Linked DNA regions of Callithrix jacchus. The protein of the gene in region 2 interacts with the protein of the main gene of each other region in a pairwise test. Links are inferred from orthologs where the notes say so. Each region holds a gene or a part of one and is shown on either strand. Other genes may lie near its edges.

Region 1 (4,794 bases), on a different chromosome or scaffold from region 2:
GAGTTTTTACTTTGAATGAAACAAAGATCCACAGAGGGTTGGGCAGATGTCATGTTCAGGTTTAGCAGAATAAGTGGCTGCTGTGTTAAAGACAGGCCTATGAGTAACATAGGAGACCCTGTCTCTAATTTTTTTAAAAAGAGAAGCAGGTGAGGGTAGGGAGCGTAAGAGATTTAAAATAAAAACTTCAGGCCAGATTCGGTGGCACACACCTGTAATCCCAGCAATTTGGGAGGCCAAAGCAGGTGGACTATTTGAGGTCAGGAGTTCAACACCAGCCTGACCATGGTGAAATTGTGTCTCGACGTGACCAGGTGTGGTGGTTCATGCCTGTAATCCCAAAACTTTGGGAGACCGAGATGGATCACCTGAGGTTGGGAGTTTGAGACCAGCCTGACCAACAAGGAGAAACTCCATTTGTACTAAAAATACAAAATTAGCAGGGCATGGTGTCACATGCCGGTAATCCCAGCTACCTGGGAGGCTAAGGCAGAATTGCCTGAACCCAGGAGGTAGAGGCTGTGGTGAGCCAAGATCATGCCACTGCACTCTAGCCTGGGCAACATTAACAAGACTCCATCTCAAAAAGAAAAAAAAAGGAAATAACCACTTTTGTTGTATAGTAAATAAGGGAGGGAAAGAGAGTGAAATATAAACACAGCTTGCTTGCTTCACTCAAAGGTACTTGTAAAGACATCCAGCTTCAGCTTTTTTTTGAGACAAAGTTTCGCTCTTTGTTGCCCAGGCTGGAGTGCAGTGGGGCAATCTTGGCTCACTGCAACCTCCACCTCCCAGGTTCAAGCGATTCTCCTGCCTCAGCCTCCCAAGTAGCTGGGATTACAGGCATGTGCCACCATGCCCAGCTAATTTTGTATTTTTAGTAGAGACTGGGTTTCTCCATTTGGTCAGGCTGGCCTTAAACTCCCGACCTCAGGTGATCCTCCGGCCTCCGCCTCCCAAAGTGCTGAGATTACAGGCATGAGCCACTGTATCCGGCCCAGATTAAGCTTTCTTGAGACTATCCTTGTGACATTGTACTTTGGAAAAAATAGTTGTGTAAATACAGAAAATACTGAATTCAACGTCATTAATCCATTCAGTTAGGTGCTTATGTGCCAGAAATTGAGTGAGGGGAAGAGTCCCTGTTTTCAAGGGCTTTTACTCATCATTTATCTCCCAGTTACTACCTACTGAGGCAGATGTAAGGGATACAACAGCAAACCAGAAACAGATTCCCTACCTTCACGCAGCTTGCACTGAAAAAGGCGAATACAAAAATGAGACACACATCTCACAAAGATAGAACATTAAAGTGTTATAGATATTACTTATGGAAGTGTAGTGGTTTCAGTGGGGACACAAACAAGGGATTCGGGCTGGGAGGGAAGGGAATGCTGGGACTTCAGACACAAAAGCTTGAGTTCTCAAAGAGGATTAGATGTCCACCTGGTTGACCTGGGGGAAGGGCTCCAAGCAGAGAGCAACTGAAGCAAAACAAAGGTGTGAAGAGCCTGGTGTATTTGGTAGGCCTAGAATCTAGAACGTAATAGAGAGAAGCCATGGAGGCTTCTGTATGCCACAATCAAGACTGGACTTTACTGGTATACATGAAATGCCCCAGAAGAATTATATTCAGAAAATCGGCATATATGATCAGGTTTTTCTGGTGTGACGAGACACTGGTTTACACAGGAATGAGAAAACACTAGGTAATGATGTCACCACATGAAACAAAGGAGAATGCCCAGTCAGAAAACTAAACTCTTCAGGAAAAAATTAAGTACTACTACTGAAGCCCTCTGAAAGATTGTATTCAATATCATCTAAAATGAAAAAAGTACAGGAAATGTTTTTACATATATATTATGGATTAAACATCCACATACCTATTTTGAGTTTAAGAATTAGTCATTCTAATTCTGTAACACATCTGGGACTAATGATTGTTGTACAAAAAGCAGTAAAATCTATTTAGGAGTCTTTGATACAAAGGGAGAACACCACGAGTAACCGAAGGAATTTCCCGTCAGGTTTAAAGGTTTCCAAAGTTCAAGCTAATCAAGTTTTCTTAAGTCAGCACGTTTAAAAGGTGTGTCATATGGGTGGAGCAAAAGGAGGAGGGATTAAAATTTATATACATGTATATATATATAAACAAGTAGCCTGATGTCGCTAGGGCTAAAATCACTTGGAGATCCGTCTCCGAAGCTGAGGGAGAAATGAAGACCTGCCAGATCCAATTAACAAAGACGAAGGAGGGGGTAAGAGGATGACCACACATGAAAACATAAATGGGGCGGGGTGGGGGGGTAGTGCTTGGCAACCACCTATCCAGAACCCATAATCCAGTTGGCGGTGCGACGAGGAAATCACACGATTCAGACATAAAGGCAGGAAAATGTCACTCCCAAACTCCACAAGCGAACCACCAGACACTGGCCTAGGGGATGTGATCACGTTCTCTGATCCCAGAACTCAAGGGCAGAGGGTACCATCCCCACACGGTGCCCGAGGGGAGGCGAAGAACCAACCCTATTCTGCGAACAGAGAGCAAATGTCCTCAGATCCAGCCCTAAGGGGGTCAATGCCGCCCAGGCCAGGCCTTGCCGAAGCCAGGGGCAGAGACCGCCCGAAGCCCCCACAGTCTCAGCCAGAGCTGCCTCTACTCCTCGCTCCCTCCAACACACACCCTCCCCTACCTGATATGGCGGCGGCGGCTCCTGATCCGGCTCCGTTCCCTCACCAAAGCTAGCCCGGTCGGACTGAGACTCGTGAAGGAGGGAGATGTCATCCGAGGTGGGGGATTTGAGGCAGTTCCCCATCTTCCGGAGCTGCGGTGCGTGATCTGGGGGAGGATAAAGCAGCGGTGGGGTCGTTCGCAAGCTCCGCGGTCAGCCTCGGTCGGCGAGGTGGGGTCGGGCGGCAGGCCGGGGATCAGGCGCAGGTGATTCCACCGCCCCGCGGTGCCGCCGAGGGGCCGCTCATGCCAGCCCCCGGAGGTGGGGGCTCAAGGCTGGGCCGCGGGCTCCGCTGGGGTCGCGGCGGTTGCCTCCTGCGAGGCGGCGATGGGGGGGGGGGCGGGGAGACGAAGCACTTCCCCACCCCGCCCCCCCGCGGGGCGGCGGCGGCCACGGAGCTGCTGGGCCTAATCCAGGTCAGGAGGGGGGGGCGCGGCCGTCGCGGCTGCCTCAGCTGCTGCCTCAGCTGCTGCTGCCCCCGCCGACGCCGGAGCCACGGCCGCGGGCCTCATCCTACTCCGCCTCAGCGCGGCGGCAGCAACCACAACGAGGCAGGCTCAGACCCTACGTCATCGCGCCGTGCGTGCTCTAGTCCCGCCCCCGGCGCCAGGGGGCGAGGGTGGCTCCGGCGGCTCCCATCCCCCTCCGCCCCCAGCAGCTGTTCCTGGGGCTGCGTCAATTTTCGCTTCTCTCTGACTGCTTGGCTCCGTACCCGTCCCCGAAACCAATCTCCCATCTCCGGCACCTCACCACATACACTGCGCCCGCCCGGTCTGGGTCTCAGTTCTTACCTGTGCAGTGTCTGACAGTCTTCTCAGTACCCTTTGACAAGCGGTCTATTTATATAAACCCATATCGGAATGAATCAGTCCCAAGATTAAAATATTAAAAGTCGTCCCCTTTATCCCTTCAAAATAAAGTCCTAGCTCGTTAATGAACCCTCCTTACCGCTCCAATCACTTCCTTATCCTCCCACATCACAGCCAGAGAGATTCTTCTTCCAGTTGTGTATTAGATTGTTCCATTTCTTTCCAGTCCAAGCACCGAAGTCCAAGCCACCATCATCCCTCACCCACTCTTCTGCAGTAGACTCTCAGCTGCTCCTGAGTTGATCATTGCCCACATCCAATCCACTGTTTGCAGAGTTGAGAGTTATCTTTTTAAAATTTAAATTGGATCATGTTATTCTCCTGTTAAAACCTTCAATGTCTCCTCAAGGCTGTCCTTAAAACAATCCTTAAGCAGGACACGGTGCCTCAAGCCTGTGATCACAAACTTTGGGAGGCAGAGGCGGGCGGATCATGAGGTCAGGAGATAGAGACCATCCTGGCTAACGCAGTGAAACACCGTCTCCACTAAAAATGCAAAAAAATAGCCGGGCATGGTGGCGCGCGCCTGTAGTCCCAGCTACTCGGGAGGCTGAGGCAGGAGAATCGCTTGAACCCGGAAGGCAGAGGGGTTTACAAATCCGACTCCCTTTTCTTTTCTTTTTTTTTTTTTTTTTAATTTTTTATTGGATTATAGGTTTTGGGGTACATGAGCAGAGCATGCAAGACAGTTGCATAGGTACACACATGGCAGTGTGCTTTGCTTTTCTTCTCCCCTTCACCCACATTTGGCATTTCTCCCCAGGCTATCCCTCCCCACCTCCCCCTCCCACTAGCCCTCCCCTTTTCCCCCCAATAGACCCCAGTGTTTAGTACTCCCCTTTCTGTGTCCATGTGTTCTCATTTTTCATCACCCACCTATGAGCATTAGCAGCATTGTCCCCTCCTTCACAAATTCTAAACTCGGCTCTCTAAAGTGATGTTCGTTATCTGGAAGACTATTGGCTCTGCCTGGGGCCTTTGTTTCTCTCACAGAAACCAACTTCTCCCCAATCCCAAACTTTCTGCTTCTTGGGCGGACACAACTTCATTTCCCCTGGGGAGCCTCACCTTACCCTCCAGTCTGAGTTAGTCGCTTCCTCTGCGTTCTCAGACCCTGAGCTTTTCTCTGTCACAGCCTGATCAAGCTGAATCATCTGTCCCTCTGTGCAAGGCTGGCACACTGCCCA
Region 2 (4,088 bases):
AATCTCTGTAGATAAATAACAAAATCCTCAGAGAACTATCTTGAAATGGATTTAGTAGCAAGACTGACTGCTTTAAAAAAACAAATATAGAAATCTTGCTTCCATGCAAGTAACTTTTTAAAAACTAATGTCCATTGTTTTTCCCAGTCTGAACATGTTTCCATATGCATATGTATTTACAATTTCTATTTTGCATTATGAAAAAAATTGGTAGACAATGGAGTAGTGTGCAAATTTTTAGGAGAGAAAATAATCCCTACTGGCTTACTACCAAACTCCCACAGTTATATAGAACCTATTAGCACTATAAACTAACTCAAAATACAGGCTTCAGAAAAACTGCTTCAATAGCCTCCCTATCAGTCTGTCATCTTCTATGAAGTCATCACCTGCTATTATTCCACAAGTTCGGAATTACTTCTGAAAGAAATGGTCGATTTTTTCAACAGCTTAGTATGCTGACAGCTTAGCAACGGTACTTGAATCACTTAAAAAAAAAAAAAGAAACCACATCACTAAAAACACACTTATCATCCATGCTTGGTATATCTCACAACAAATTATTAGGAATGTCTCACAGCTCAAAATCACATGAAAATCCATAAAAAGGATATGCAGCATCTCTGCACACCATATTGCAGGGAGAAAAACAAATGGACCATATATCTTCATTAGAGAATAGCCAAAGCCACTTGAAAAGGTTACTAGTGGCAATTCTAAATACCAGAGATACATGTAGAAAAGGAAATGTTTTTCCTTAGAGAATGGAAATGTTTTGTGGGACAAATTCCTGCACAGTTGGCATGACTGGCTGGGGACTTTATCACACATCTGCATTTATAAGGTCTTCACTGTTAATCACAGAAAGCATTTTTGTTCCTTCCAAATTGCTCTTGCTTATATGCTAATTACTACTCAACATATCGTGAGAGCAAAAGTGACAATACTGCAAACACAACTGCAATTTAAGGAGCCAAAAGGAAATATGCTGGCAAGCTAAATGCTTACACACAAAAGTTAGTGAGATACTCTGAAAAAAATATTTCAAGTTCTTTAGTGCTCTTATGACATTTTAGGGGAAAACAGTGGTTTCTTTAAAATAATATTTTAACACTCCTATCTTATACTGTTTAGTGTCATAAGGCTACCTAACAGGTATCTAGATTTATGTAGATAAATTAGAAAGTAAGACAAAACTAACTGAAAGCATCTTTAAGCTGCCTCTAATCAAAAGATTGACTTCAAACAAACTGGACTGAAAAAAAAAAACCTTTTATGGCCTTGTAGAGTATGAGAGGTTTTTGTGCTTTTTTTATGTATAGTCCTTTTGAGTTGAGAGGAAAAAAGTTTTAATGTTTTCAGGTTGGAATCACAAGGATTGAATACACTTATGAAGGCTTTCAAGAAAATGGCTGCTTTATTTCTAAAGGAGAGGCTGCTGATGGTAATTTGTGTGCTGCTGTGCAACTGGATGAGCTGGAACTGTCACCGGAAAGCCTGTCAGTTGAGGCAAATTGGAAGTAGTGTTCTGATAAGATGACATATCCACAGACATCCCCATTTGCTGTGTGTAAGCAGTTGTACCAGTAGCTGATTGTAGGTTAGATTTCTGGTTCATATAAGTAGGATTGGAAACAGTGTCTTGTCCAGTGCTACAAACAAAATTGTATAAAGAAAACCATATTTACTTTGCAATATCTAGGTTACAGTTAGAGATCAATCATCATGATAAAAATGCCTTTTCCATCTTCTTTTTAAGTTTATGTAGCTCTGCTGTTCTGATTACAATTTAATCACTCCAGCCATTGAATACTGTCAATCAAATTTTCTTTTTTTTTTGAGATGGGATCTTGCTCTGTTGCCCAGGCTGGGGTGCAGATCATAGCTCACTGCATTCTCAAACTCCTAGGCTTAAACAGTCCTCCTGCTTCAGTCTCCTGAGTGGCTGGGACTATAGGTGTACCACCACTCCTGACTAATTAAAAATTTTTTTTTTTGTAGAGACTGGGTCTTGCTATGTTGCCCAGGATGGTCTCAAACTCCTGGGCTCAAGTGATCCTGTGGCCTTGGCCTTCCAAAGTGTTGAAATTACAGGTGTGGGTCACCACACTGAGCTTGTTAATGTAGTTTTTTTATTTGGTAAGGAAAGAGAGGTACTTGAAAAGAAATAAAATGTAAGATTCTAAGGCCGATTTAACTTGCCTTCTCCAGAATCTCTAACTAAAACCATTTAGAAACCATCTGAGGATATGTAAACTGTTTCTGAGGGAAGTACCCTCGGCCAGTTGCAAAGAGAATGAAGCCCTGGTTCAAGATGCCACCTTCGGCCTACATTCTCCCTTCCCCATCTCCAAATCAGGCGCAAAGAAGTCTACCTCTTCTCTGCAAATATCCTTCAAGCTTTCCTTCATAATCACTTTTTACTTTCAAAGAAAAAACAGTGCAGTCTGTATAGGACCCAAAATCTACCCTCAGGATAATCCAAAACTATAGTTTATTTACTGACACTTCACACACTATGCTGAAAAATCATACCTAATTGCAAGACTTCTGTCTGTTGCTGTAACTATTATGGCATACATTTCTCTTGAAATATATATATAATTTTAGGGCTGAGCTTAGAGGCTCACGCCTCTAATCCCAGCATTTTGGTAGGCCAAGGTAAGAGGTCTGCTTAAGGCCAGGCTAGTTTGAGACCAGCCCGGGCAACATAGCAATACTCATCTCTACAAAAAATTAAAAACATTAGCTGGGCATAGTATGCACCTGTGGTCTCAGCTCCTCAGGAGGCAGAGGTTTTGGAAGATCCCTTAAGCCTGGGAGTTGGAGGCTGCAGTGAGCTCTGATCACACCACGTACTCCAGCCTGGGTGATAAAACCCCATCTATTTAAAAACAGTTTTAATTTTTAAAAATTATGTAATTTTAAATTCCACCAAATACACTGCTTACAATAAAAGAGAATTAGTTTCAACACGACACCAGTTTTTTCTCCATAATTACTAGTGTCATCAAGGATGGCAAAATTTTGTATTTTATTCTAACTGAACACTAATATGACATTTATTTAATTTACAAATATCTAAAATTCATACTCATAGAATTTGAGGGTGGGAAGAGAACCTTATAGATCATCTACATACGATTATATTGAATGAACATTTTGTATGGTTAAACAAAGTGAATAGAAAGGAAGATTTAAATATAACTTTTAGAGTAGAAGTGTTTTTATTAAAAAACAGAACTACAGGGCTGGGTGCAGTGGTGCACGTCTGTAATCCTAGCACTTTGGGAGGCCACAGCAGGCAGATCCCTTGAGCTGAGGAGTTTGAGACCAGCCTGGGCAACATGGTCAAACTCCATCTTGACAAAAAAAAAAAAAACAACAAAAATTAGCCAAGCATGGTGGTACTCGCCTGTAGTCCCTGCTACTCGAGAGGCTGAGGTGGGTGAATCACTTGAGACCAGGAGGTCAAGACTGTAGTGAGCTGAGATCACGCCACTGCACTCCAGTCTGGGTGACCAAGTCAGATACTTCTTTTTTTTTTTTGAGATGGAATTGCTCTGTCACCAGGCTGGAGTGCAATGGAACGATCTCAGCTCATTGCAACCTATGCTTCCTGGGTTCAAGCGATTCTCCTGCTTCAGCGTCCCGAGTAGCTGGGATTACAGGCGCAAGCCACCACGTCCAACTAATTTTTGTATTTTTAGTAGAGATGGGGTTTCACCATGTTGGTCAAGCTGGTCTTGAACTCCTGACCTTGTGATCTGCCTGCCTTGGTCTCCCAAGGTGCTGGGATTACAGGTGTGAGCCACGGTGCTCGACCAAGACCCTGTCTTGGGAAAAAAAAAAACTTAACTACAAATTCTACAGTTCAAACACCCTTCTTTTTAAGGGTCTAAAGTAACAAGTTTTCTAATTTTTAGGAGTGCATGCAGATAAATAAGTCTGGGACTACTTTACAGGCTGATTATACCACAGTGCTAAGCACATCATGGACTTAGTCTCATAAAGAACAATCAGCTTTATTTTGTCCCAGGGATGCAGACTATAAGCTTAAGTAAGGGCAACCATCTCAGTATGGGTAG
Region 3 (4,582 bases), on a different chromosome or scaffold from region 2:
CTCCAGAATTTGAATTTATTCATGGGAGCAGTCTCTAAAGGAAGTCCTAGGCACAATTAATGACACGTGCTTTAATAATTGAAGAAGTGTATACGTAAATTTGGGCACATTGATAGTATATCACATTGTGGGTTAAAGTAACCAGCAATATAAATACAGCTTCCACAAGCAGAGCATAAAAACTGACACACGCTTTTCTTGGTTTATTGGGTAGGAGGATGCTAATACCCTAACCTTACGATAAGATAAGCTTTCTAAGACCGTAACTGACTAACTGCAAAGAATACTGCTCTGGTTCTTATCAGGAAAAGTCCATTATAATCATTTTAGGCACGAAACTTTCTACGCATTAGAATTATTCTGAGGTGAAAAGGTATGCTATTAAGAAAATTCATTTTGCAAAGAGGAATAATTTTTTTTAAGCTCTAAAGCTTTCTCATAAATTAGCAAAGTAGCTTAGGATCCTATTAGGATATTTCCTCGGAAGTTTGGAGGGGTCTGTGTTCTACCAGGTGATGCCTGATATAGCTCATGAGTCAATGAGGGGACAGAGAGTAGTAACCCTTGCCGTGCGCTCCGGGCTGCCTCGGGTACTTTATTTACGGATGCTGGATGTTCCAAAATAACCCAGTCCTTTCGTTCCCGCTCCTACCGAGGTGCCGGGAAAGCACCCCCGCACCTATGCGGGCCAGGCAAGTCGTGCGCCCTGCAAGCGGTAACTGAGCTCGGCGTCGTCCTTCCCGAAGTCCTTGGCTTACACCTCTCCCGTCGAGTCGCCCCCAAAGTCCCTCCTCCAGACATCCCCTTCCTTATGGGGGCAAAAGTTTAAGGGCTGGCTCCCTTCTCATTAAAGTGCGCCGGGGTCTCTCTCGTGGCTGGACCTGGACCGTAAAGGAGCCCGAGTGTCCACGGCGCTTTGCTTGCTCTTCTCTAGCCCCAGCTCGGCGGGTGGGGACAGACGCTGACACTGTCGGTGGCCGGCGCTGACGCGTCCTGGCCGTCGGGTGCCTCCTAGCTTGAGGGACTTATTTAAATATTTGGGGCAGGGCACCCTCCTAGGACCCCAGGAAGCCAGCGCAGGTTCGGCGGGGACCCGGCGCAGCGCGAGCACGGGGTGCGCGTGGGTGCCAGTGAGGGTGCGTTCGGGGCCAGAGGGAGGCGGACCCGCCAGGCGGCAGGTGGGTGCGGCCGGCTGGAGCCAGGGCAGCGCGGCGGCAGCAAGTGGTTGGGCCGTGCGCATTTCCTTCCCTCCCCCTCGGCCTCGGAGCCCGCCCGCGACGCCCTGTGTGCGGCGCTCTCGGCTCCGCTCGGCGTCCCCTCCCAGCCGCCGCCGGTCGCTCCCTTCTCCGTCCGTCCATGTCCCTGCCCGTGGTGCTCCCGGGCTCCTGCTGCCCAGTGGCTGGGCTTTCGGGTGGGCCGCAGGCCGGGGGCCCGGGAGCCGCCGCCGCCGCCGCCCAGGAGCCGCCGCTGCCCCCGCTGCGGCCGCGCTGGCCCCGGGGCGCGCTGCAGCCCCCGGCGCGGCCTCGCTGCACTGCCGCAGCTGCTGCCGGGGTGCTGGCCGCGCCGCCCGCGCTCACTTCCCGCCGGGCAGCCGCCGCCGCCGCCGCCGCACCGGGCTCCGCGCTCCTGCCCGCCCGCCCGCTGCTGTCACTCGGGCTGCTGCAGCTGATCCTGGGTTGCTGCATGGTGGCGCTCAGCTTCGGGGCGCTGTCGCTGAGCAGCTCTCCGCAGGTGAAGAACTCGTGCCCATTCTGGGCCGGCTCTTCGGTGAGTACTGCGCGCGCGCGCGCGCGCCGCTCGACGACGCACTCCGGGGATAGGGGGCTCTGGTCGATCCGCTCCATTGCCCCTTAGTAATGGTCCTCCAGGGCTTCAACTGAAGTTTTTGGAAGCTGGAGAAAGATGTTCTGCCACAGTCGAGTTCAGGGGAGAATTGGGTTGTACCTGGGTAGTGTCTGTGGCTCGCAGGTTAAAGGATTTTATTGTCACTGTCAAGCTAATAGAATTAAACAAAGATACCCAGCTTTTTGGGAGATTGAAAGGCCAGGATGTGGGTGGCAGGAAAGTGGGAGGAAAATGATTAAAGTTCTTTTGGCCATTGAGTAATTACTGCACTAACACCATCTGTGCTGGAAGACCAGGTATTGTGATCATTTTTGTCCACTGATGTATCAAGAATGCCTGGCACATAGTAGGTGTATTTGTGGGATGGGACAGGTTGACTGGGGTACATCGCTTATTTTATTCTGCATTAAGACACACGTACTTGTGAGGTGTAGGGTGGCTCGACCCCCAGACAAATTCAGGAGGTAACGAGAGGGTGTGTGTGAACTGGCACTTGTACCTGGTCATTAAAGGAGAGCCTTAACCCTAGTGGGTTCCTGGAGCCATGCAGGCTGCTGTGCAGAATTCAGTTTGTGAGACCCGGGACCTGTCATTACGGATGAGCTGGCCAAAGCTCCTGGAGCGCCTGGCAGCTAGCTAGAGAGATGTCTGCTCTCCAGGACCCACTCCTCCCTCCTCCAACCAGGAACGCTGAGCCTGGGGCCAAAGAGTACCCAACTTCAGAGAAAAGCTGCTGCCAGCCAGTATCTATGGACACCGGGTGGCCACTCCCCCCTGCGTCCTAACAATCTCACAACTTCCAAGGCATCCAACCCTTTGAAGTTTGCTGAGTGTGGAGAGACTTGGAAACACAACCTTGTGGAATGTATGTGGAAGATGAGCACAGCAAAGTAGATAACCTTTCTTTATATACCTTTAAAAAAGTTTATTTGTTTTTTATTTTTAAGGGACAGGATTTCCCCATGTTGCCGAGGCTATTTTCCATCTCCAAGTGATCCTCCTGCCTCAGCCTCCCAAAGTGTGGGGATTATAGATGTGAGCCACCACACCAGGCTTTAAATAACCTTTCTATGGACTCACTATGTAAATCTGAAAGTCTGGCAATGCTGGTAGTTTTTAGTTTTCATACTATCTGTAATCAGTGCATGTCCTGAATGGTAAGAACTGCTTTTATAGTTCCACGCATACCCCAATTCAAGAGCAAATTGAAAAAAAGGATTCGAAGAACTCATTGAACCCAAGGTAATTGAATAAAAACGCTAAGAACATTAGGTTCCTTGAGACTCGCCTGAAGTTGTATACTTCATCCAGTGCCAGTTTGCTTTCCTTTTGAAATACTTTCATATTGAATGATCTTATTGAGGTACATGCTGTGCTGTGGTGAGCAAAGGCCACAATTTGTGCCTCATGTAGAAAAAAATCCCACCCTGGTGGCGCTGCCTGTGGGCTCTGCCACTAGCCTCTTTGAGTGTTCTGGGAAACTCCAGAAGGATGGATATTCCAGACAGGATAGGAATTAGACCCATTATGCTACTTACTGTGCTTGTCTGATTAAATCCTGCCAAATGGTGGATGCATTCATTTCTCTAAATACTATGGGCCAGTAATAATCTTGCATATATTTTAAGGAATTTGTTCTTTATAAAATCATACTCTATTGTCTTCTCAAACATAGCTTTTTTTTTGTCTTTTCAAATTAAAGGCTGAATTCAGTTTACTGTTGTGAATCATTTCAGAGGTAAATACAGTTAGATATCAGTCAAGCCACAGTTGTATTTGATGAAGTACCAAAAAAAATGTTATATATATATATATATATATATATATATATATATATATATATATATATATAAAATAAAAGGCCTTCAACCAGAAGGTGAAGGTTAATACTCCTGGTCTGCTGGCTGGGTATGCCCTTGTCTCCAAGTCTGAGCACACCAGAGCAGAGAAAGAAATCAGTGATTTGGAACTGACAAGTTCTCTGCTATGTCTTTTTTCCATACTTCCCCATACCCTCCAAACCCAGGTCTATATGCAACTTTGTAACTGTTCATTATTCCTATTTTCTGTGACTTATTCCTGAGGTTGGCCTCAGAATTTGCAAAGTGACACCAGAAGCAAGAGATACTGTATTTATAGAAAAATTAACTAAATACAATTTTAAGAGGATGGCATTAGGCACCATGACTCTCTTGGTGCTTTAGGGAAAAAAAATCTTGTGTCACATGGTTTGAATTTATGTATGCGACAGTTTTTTTTTTAAGCCTCATGTTATGGAAAGTTTACATTTATGCACTATCTGATCTGAATTCATGATTATCTCTGAGTCCATGATTCTTCCAAGATTCACTTTTATATAAAGAGACAGACATTGGTAAACTTTAGGGTAAACTTTTTAAAAAAAAATTGCAGTGACTACACATAATGAAAAATCAATGGATCAAAGAAAAAAAATGAACATAAAGATTATGGTTACTACCAGTTAAATGATAGTAAATATTTTTTATTATACTAAGCAAATACTACTTTAGTATTTAAGGGATATTTAAAATATAATTTTTGGGATGAGTTTATTGGTTTCTTTGATCCTTCATTTTGCATATCAGCAGTCACATTTATAAGTTCTGTGCCTCTCGGCCTTGGTTACTCATGGGTAAAATGGGTGGGATGCTGCTTCTTCAAGATTGATTTTGTGAGGGTGTAACTCGAGTATATATAGGAGAGTGCATCACTGCTG
Region 4 (4,760 bases), on a different chromosome or scaffold from region 2:
ATCACGCCATTGCACTCCAGTCTGGGCGACAATGCCAGACTCTGTCTCAAAAATAATAATAATAATAAAAGACCTTGCTGACTGAACGGGTTGCAGTAAAAGAGCCGGCCAAATCCCACCAAAACCAAGATGGCGACGAGGGTGACCTCTGGTCGTCCTCACTGCTGCACTCCCACCAGCGCCATGACAGTTTACAAATGCCATGGCAACATCAGAAAGTTACCCTATAGTCTAAAAAGGAGGCATGAGTAATCCACCCCTTGTTCAGCATATAATCAAGAAATCACCATAAAAATGGCCAGCAGTGCCCTCAGGTCCGCTCTGTCTAGGGAGAGGCCATTCTTTATTCCTTTTCTTTCCTAATAACCTTGCTTCCACTTTACTCCACCTGCTTCCCCTGAAGGCTTTCTTATAAGAGATCCAAGAACCCTCTCTGGGGGTCTGGATCGGGACTCCTTTCCCCACCTGAAAGGGTCGTTGGGAGGACTGAGTTGGTGCATGCGCAGCACTCACACCCTGGAACACAGGAAGTGCCACATATGTGTTTGCTGTCATTAGTGGCATCATACACACAGACATGTAAGGCCACTTAGCAATACACAGACACAGGCAGAGGGACGTATGGAACCTCAGCAACTCACACACAAATAGGCAGGAATACACATGTGCAGAGACAGGCACTTCTGCACACGTGCACACAGATGAAACCATCTTCGCAAAAATTTTAACGGAAAATTGTCACTGTGTAGGAGATCTGATTTAACCAGCCCCCATCTTGTCTTTCACCTGCAAACTGCTCTCCATCATTCCTGGGCTTGGGACTAACTAACTCTGGGGAACATTTAGTTTATAGTTTAAGTGACCATTTTGGTTTTGGTGTATTGTTTTGTTTTGCTTTGAGAGAGTGTTGCTCTGTTATCTAAGCTGGAGTGCAGTGGTGTGATCTTGACTCACTATAACCTCCGCCTCCCAGGTTCAAGCGATTCTCCAGCCTCAGCCTCCTGAGTAGCTGGGACTACAGGCACGTGCCACCACTAATTTTTATATATTTTAATAGAGACAGTGTTTCACCATGTTGGTCAGGATGGTCTTGATCTCTTGACCTCATGATCCACCCGCCTCAGCCTCCCAAAGTGCTGGGATTACAGGCATGAGCCACCACACCCAGCTTTAGTGCATAGTTTAATGATAATGATTCCCTTCCCAAAACTCGACTGCTTTTGTAAAGCTAACAAAAGACCACCAGGTTAGGAAGCTAAAGAATGAGAGAAAGCTAAATTCTGCTATATGTCGAGATACATGATTACCAGCCATTATTCCAGAGGTCACAAGATTTACGACTTCCCCTGTCACCCCTGCAGATAACATCAGTATTGTAGAATCTAAGATCAGCCTTTTGAAATGTCTTTTCAGGTTTTTGCATTTCTGACAAGTACTGAGGACTCAGCGCACACAAGGACCATTTTCCACACACCTATCATTGTCTCTCCAGCCAATCAGCAGCACTCATTCCTGGCTAGCCAAACTGTCCTTGAACAACCCTAGCCTCTGCATTTTCAGGGAGACTGACTTCAGTCATAAAACTCCAGTATCAGCCAGTCAAGGTGTAATCCTAGCACTTTGGGAAGCCAAAGTTGTTTGGAAAACTCTGTCCCTGTCGTGAAAGCCTTCCCCCTCCCACACAAAGGGACTCCCTTATCTCTCACTCTACATACCGTCCTGGCCTTCCCGCCCGGCCACAGCCACCTCCCGCCCGGCAACCGGCTGACCAATCACCACCCGCCTCATCAGCTCTCCCCAACTTCCTGCCTCCCGGCTTCCCGCCTCCCAGTTTCCTGCCGCCCAGCTTCCCGCCCAGCGGTTTAAACTGACCAACCGTTGCCCGCCACCTCGGCTCTCTCGGCTTCCCCACTCCCTCAGCCCTTCAGCTCCCTATAAAAGAACTCTGCTCCTCTGAGCGGCGCGGCCATTTTCATGTGCTTCCCGGCTGGTCCGCCCGGAGGCTCTTTCCTCTCAATAAAGCCTGAACTTAAGACTTTCTTCTAACCTGCGGCCCAGTTTTTTTCTGAACGAGCTCTGATCTTCCCATAGAGGGTAGGTCGGACAAGTGGTGCCGAAACCCGGGAGTTGGGGCCGCTGGCCCGGCCATGGCCCCCTCCCCCCGACCTACCCAACACTGGCCCTGCCACCTCTGCGCTCCGATTAAGGTAAGCCAAGTTTTTTCTAGCTTTACCTTCTCTCCCCCCCCACCCCTCCTACGGCACGGTTGCAGCTGCTCCCCTCCGGCGTTCCACACGGACTCCTCGCCTAGTCTCGGCCGAGCCGAGGTAGTCCTCCGTTCCGGCTCCTGGAGCCTTCCGAGGGGTAGCTGCCAGACGGGGGACGCCCCTCTGACCACTTCCCTAACCGTCCTTAACCGTACTCCTGGGAATTTGCAACGAAAGGGGACGCCTTTTCTTTGCATCTACCCAACCGCGCCGGAGGGTCTGTAGCTGCACCTGCCATGGGAAATTCGGAGTCCAAAATACCTTCCAGCACCCCCCTTGGGTGCTTGCTGCGAAATTTTACCAAATTGGGATACTCCCAAACCCTCAGAAAGAAAAAGCTTGTCTTCCTGTCCCAGGTGGCTTGGCCCCAATACAAACTCAGTAACCAGTCACATTGGCCCCCGACTGGCACTTTCGATTTCAACACCCTCCGAGATCTCGACAATTTTTGTCGCCGCATGGGAAAAGACAATGAAATTCCTTACGTTCAGGCTTTTTGGGACCTCCGTACCCACCCCAACCTATGTTCTTCCTGCTCCACCTACCAAATCCTCTTAGCTCGTACCCCTCGTAAATCTTCCTCCACTACCTCTCCCCCTCCCTACTCCTCACCGGAAGATCTGCCTGAACATCTGTCCCCTCCTGCCAACCTCGGCAACCAGTCGCCTTCAACAGCACGCCCTTCCCCCACTCCCTCTGCACCTTCTATCTCAGAGGCCATGCCTCGCTCTTCCTCCACTCCCTCTGGGCCCCCTCCCTCGGAGGCCGCTCTTCCTCTTGCCTCCCCAGTGGCAGCCCACACCCGCTCTCACCAACCAACTATCCTGGTCCCACTCCGAGAAGTAGCAGGCACTGAAGGCTTAGTCAGGGTCCATGTTCCTTTCTCACTCCAAGACCTGTCCCAAATTGAGAAACGGTTAGGATCCTTCTCAGCCGACTCGTCCACCTATATTAAGGAATTCCAATACCTCACTCAAGCATACAGCCTCACTTGGCATGATATCCGCGTTATCTGTACCTCCACCCTCACAGTAGAGGAGCACGAGCACATCCTAGTGGCAGCCAAAAACCAAGCAGATAAAGATCATGCTATAGATAACCAGATCCCCTTAGGCCCCGAAGTAATCCCAGGTGAAGACCCCCCAATGGGACTATCAGGCTAGTCGAGGGTCTGATATACCCAAGAGGGACCGCATGATTAGATACCTCCTCAGGGGAATGGATATTGTATCTAACAAAGTTGTAAACTATGATAAACTAAGAGAAATCACCCAACTACCTGATGAGAATCCCGCCCTTTTTCTCGCCCGCTTACAAGAAGCCCTAGTCCGGTACACTCGGCTAGATCCAGCCTCTCAAAACGGAGCCACTGTACTAGCCTCCCATTTTATCTCCCAATCAGCATCCGATATAAAAAGGAAACTAAAGAAAGCAGAAGAGGGGCCAGAGACTCCCATCCAAGACCTGGTAAAAATGGCCTTTAAAGTATTCAATGCCAGGGAAGATGCGGCTGAGGCTGCCCGGCAAACTCGCATGAAGCAGAAGGTTGCCCTCCAGACCCAAGCCCTAGTGGCAGCCCTAAGGCCGGCAGGGAATCAGAGGCCCAAGGCCGAAACCCATACCCCTCCGGGGGCATGTTTCAAATGTGGAAGGGAAGGACACTGGTCCCGGGCCTGTCCACAACCACGGCCACGAACTAAGCCTTCCCCTGCCTGTCAGCTCCTGGGACACTGGAGGTCAGACTGCCCCAGCTTTCCCAGGGTGCCGGTTCCTCAAAACAGACACACTGGCGTTATGCAGCCGGCGGTCACCCTCAGTAGGGAGGAGCCTGCTTGCCAGGAGCCGACCTCCGAGGGGGCTCCATTCCCCAGTCTACTAGAGCTGCTAGACGACTAGCGGGGCCCTGGCTCCCCGACTCTGGTTATCCTCGCCGAGCCTAGGGCCACACTTCAGGTAGCGGGTAAAAGTGTCTCCTTCTTGCTGGACATGGGGGCTACCTACTCCATACTTCCTTCCTATTCTGGCCATCTTACCCCTTCCCAGGTCTCAGTCATGGGAATCGACGGGACCCCAAGTATCCCCTACCAAACCCCACCGCTCATGTGCTCATATAACTCCACTCCATTTACCCACTCCTTTTTAGTAATCCCCACCTGCCCAGTACCCCTCCTAGGACGAGACATCCTTTCAAAGCTAAAGGCCATCATAACCTTCCCCACCGCCAACTCACATAGCCTCTTTCTCCTAGCCCTCACCTCAGATACCGAACACCAAAAAGCCCTATCCGAACTACTCCCCAGAGTCCACCCTCAGGTCTGGGACATTAACAACCCGTCTGTAGCTACACACCACCAGCCAGTTCAAGTCCGCCTTAAAGACTCCTCGCCTCATTTTCTCTCCCGCCCTCAATTTCCCATCTCTAAAGCCCACCGTATGGGTATCCGACCCATCAGAGAGAAACTAAAAGGTCAAGGCCTCTTAATCCCCATTAAC

What was found.
Region 1: the proteins of STAM2 (region 2) and RNF11 interact in binary tests that used the Homo sapiens proteins (3 or more experiments, as listed by UniProt). The link is inferred for Callithrix jacchus from reciprocal best matches to the Homo sapiens genes STAM2 and RNF11.
Region 3: the proteins of STAM2 (region 2) and ENTREP1 interact in a two-hybrid assay, tested with the Homo sapiens proteins (2 studies listed by BioGRID and IntAct). The two-hybrid records come from large-scale screens. The link is inferred for Callithrix jacchus from reciprocal best matches to the Homo sapiens genes STAM2 and ENTREP1.
Region 4: the proteins of STAM2 (region 2) and LITAF interact in a two-hybrid assay, tested with the Homo sapiens proteins (4 studies listed by BioGRID and IntAct). The two-hybrid records come from large-scale screens. The link is inferred for Callithrix jacchus from reciprocal best matches to the Homo sapiens genes STAM2 and LITAF.

The regions. Positions count from the first base shown.
Region 1 is NC_133508.1:88,115,131-88,119,924, reverse strand, and holds the start of RNF11 (RING finger protein 11), read right to left. Parts: upstream 3,284-4,794; 5' UTR 2,823-3,283; coding exon 2,700-2,822; intron 2,262-2,699; exon of another isoform or gene 2,175-2,261; intron 1-2,174. UniProt on the Homo sapiens protein: Essential component of a ubiquitin-editing protein complex, comprising also TNFAIP3, ITCH and TAX1BP1, that ensures the transient nature of inflammatory signaling pathways. Promotes the association of TNFAIP3 to RIPK1 after TNF stimulation.
Region 2 is NC_133507.1:78,249,449-78,253,536, reverse strand, and holds part of STAM2 (signal transducing adapter molecule 2), read right to left. Parts: intron 1,653-4,088; coding exon 1,424-1,652; 3' UTR 1-1,423.
Region 3 is NC_133502.1:95,571,294-95,575,875, reverse strand, and holds the start of ENTREP1 (endosomal transmembrane epsin interactor 1), read left to right. Parts: upstream 1-1,299; 5' UTR 1,300-1,356; coding exon 1,357-1,767; intron 1,768-4,582. UniProt on the Homo sapiens protein: Functions as an activator of the E3 ubiquitin protein ligase ITCH in the ubiquitination of the CXCL12-activated CXCR4 receptor. Thereby, triggers CXCR4 endocytosis and desensitization, negatively regulating the CXCL12/CXCR4 signaling pathway.
Region 4 is NC_133513.1:17,479,288-17,484,047, reverse strand, and holds the start of LITAF (lipopolysaccharide-induced tumor necrosis factor-alpha factor), read right to left. Parts: upstream 3,284-4,760; 5' UTR 3,080-3,283; intron 1-3,079.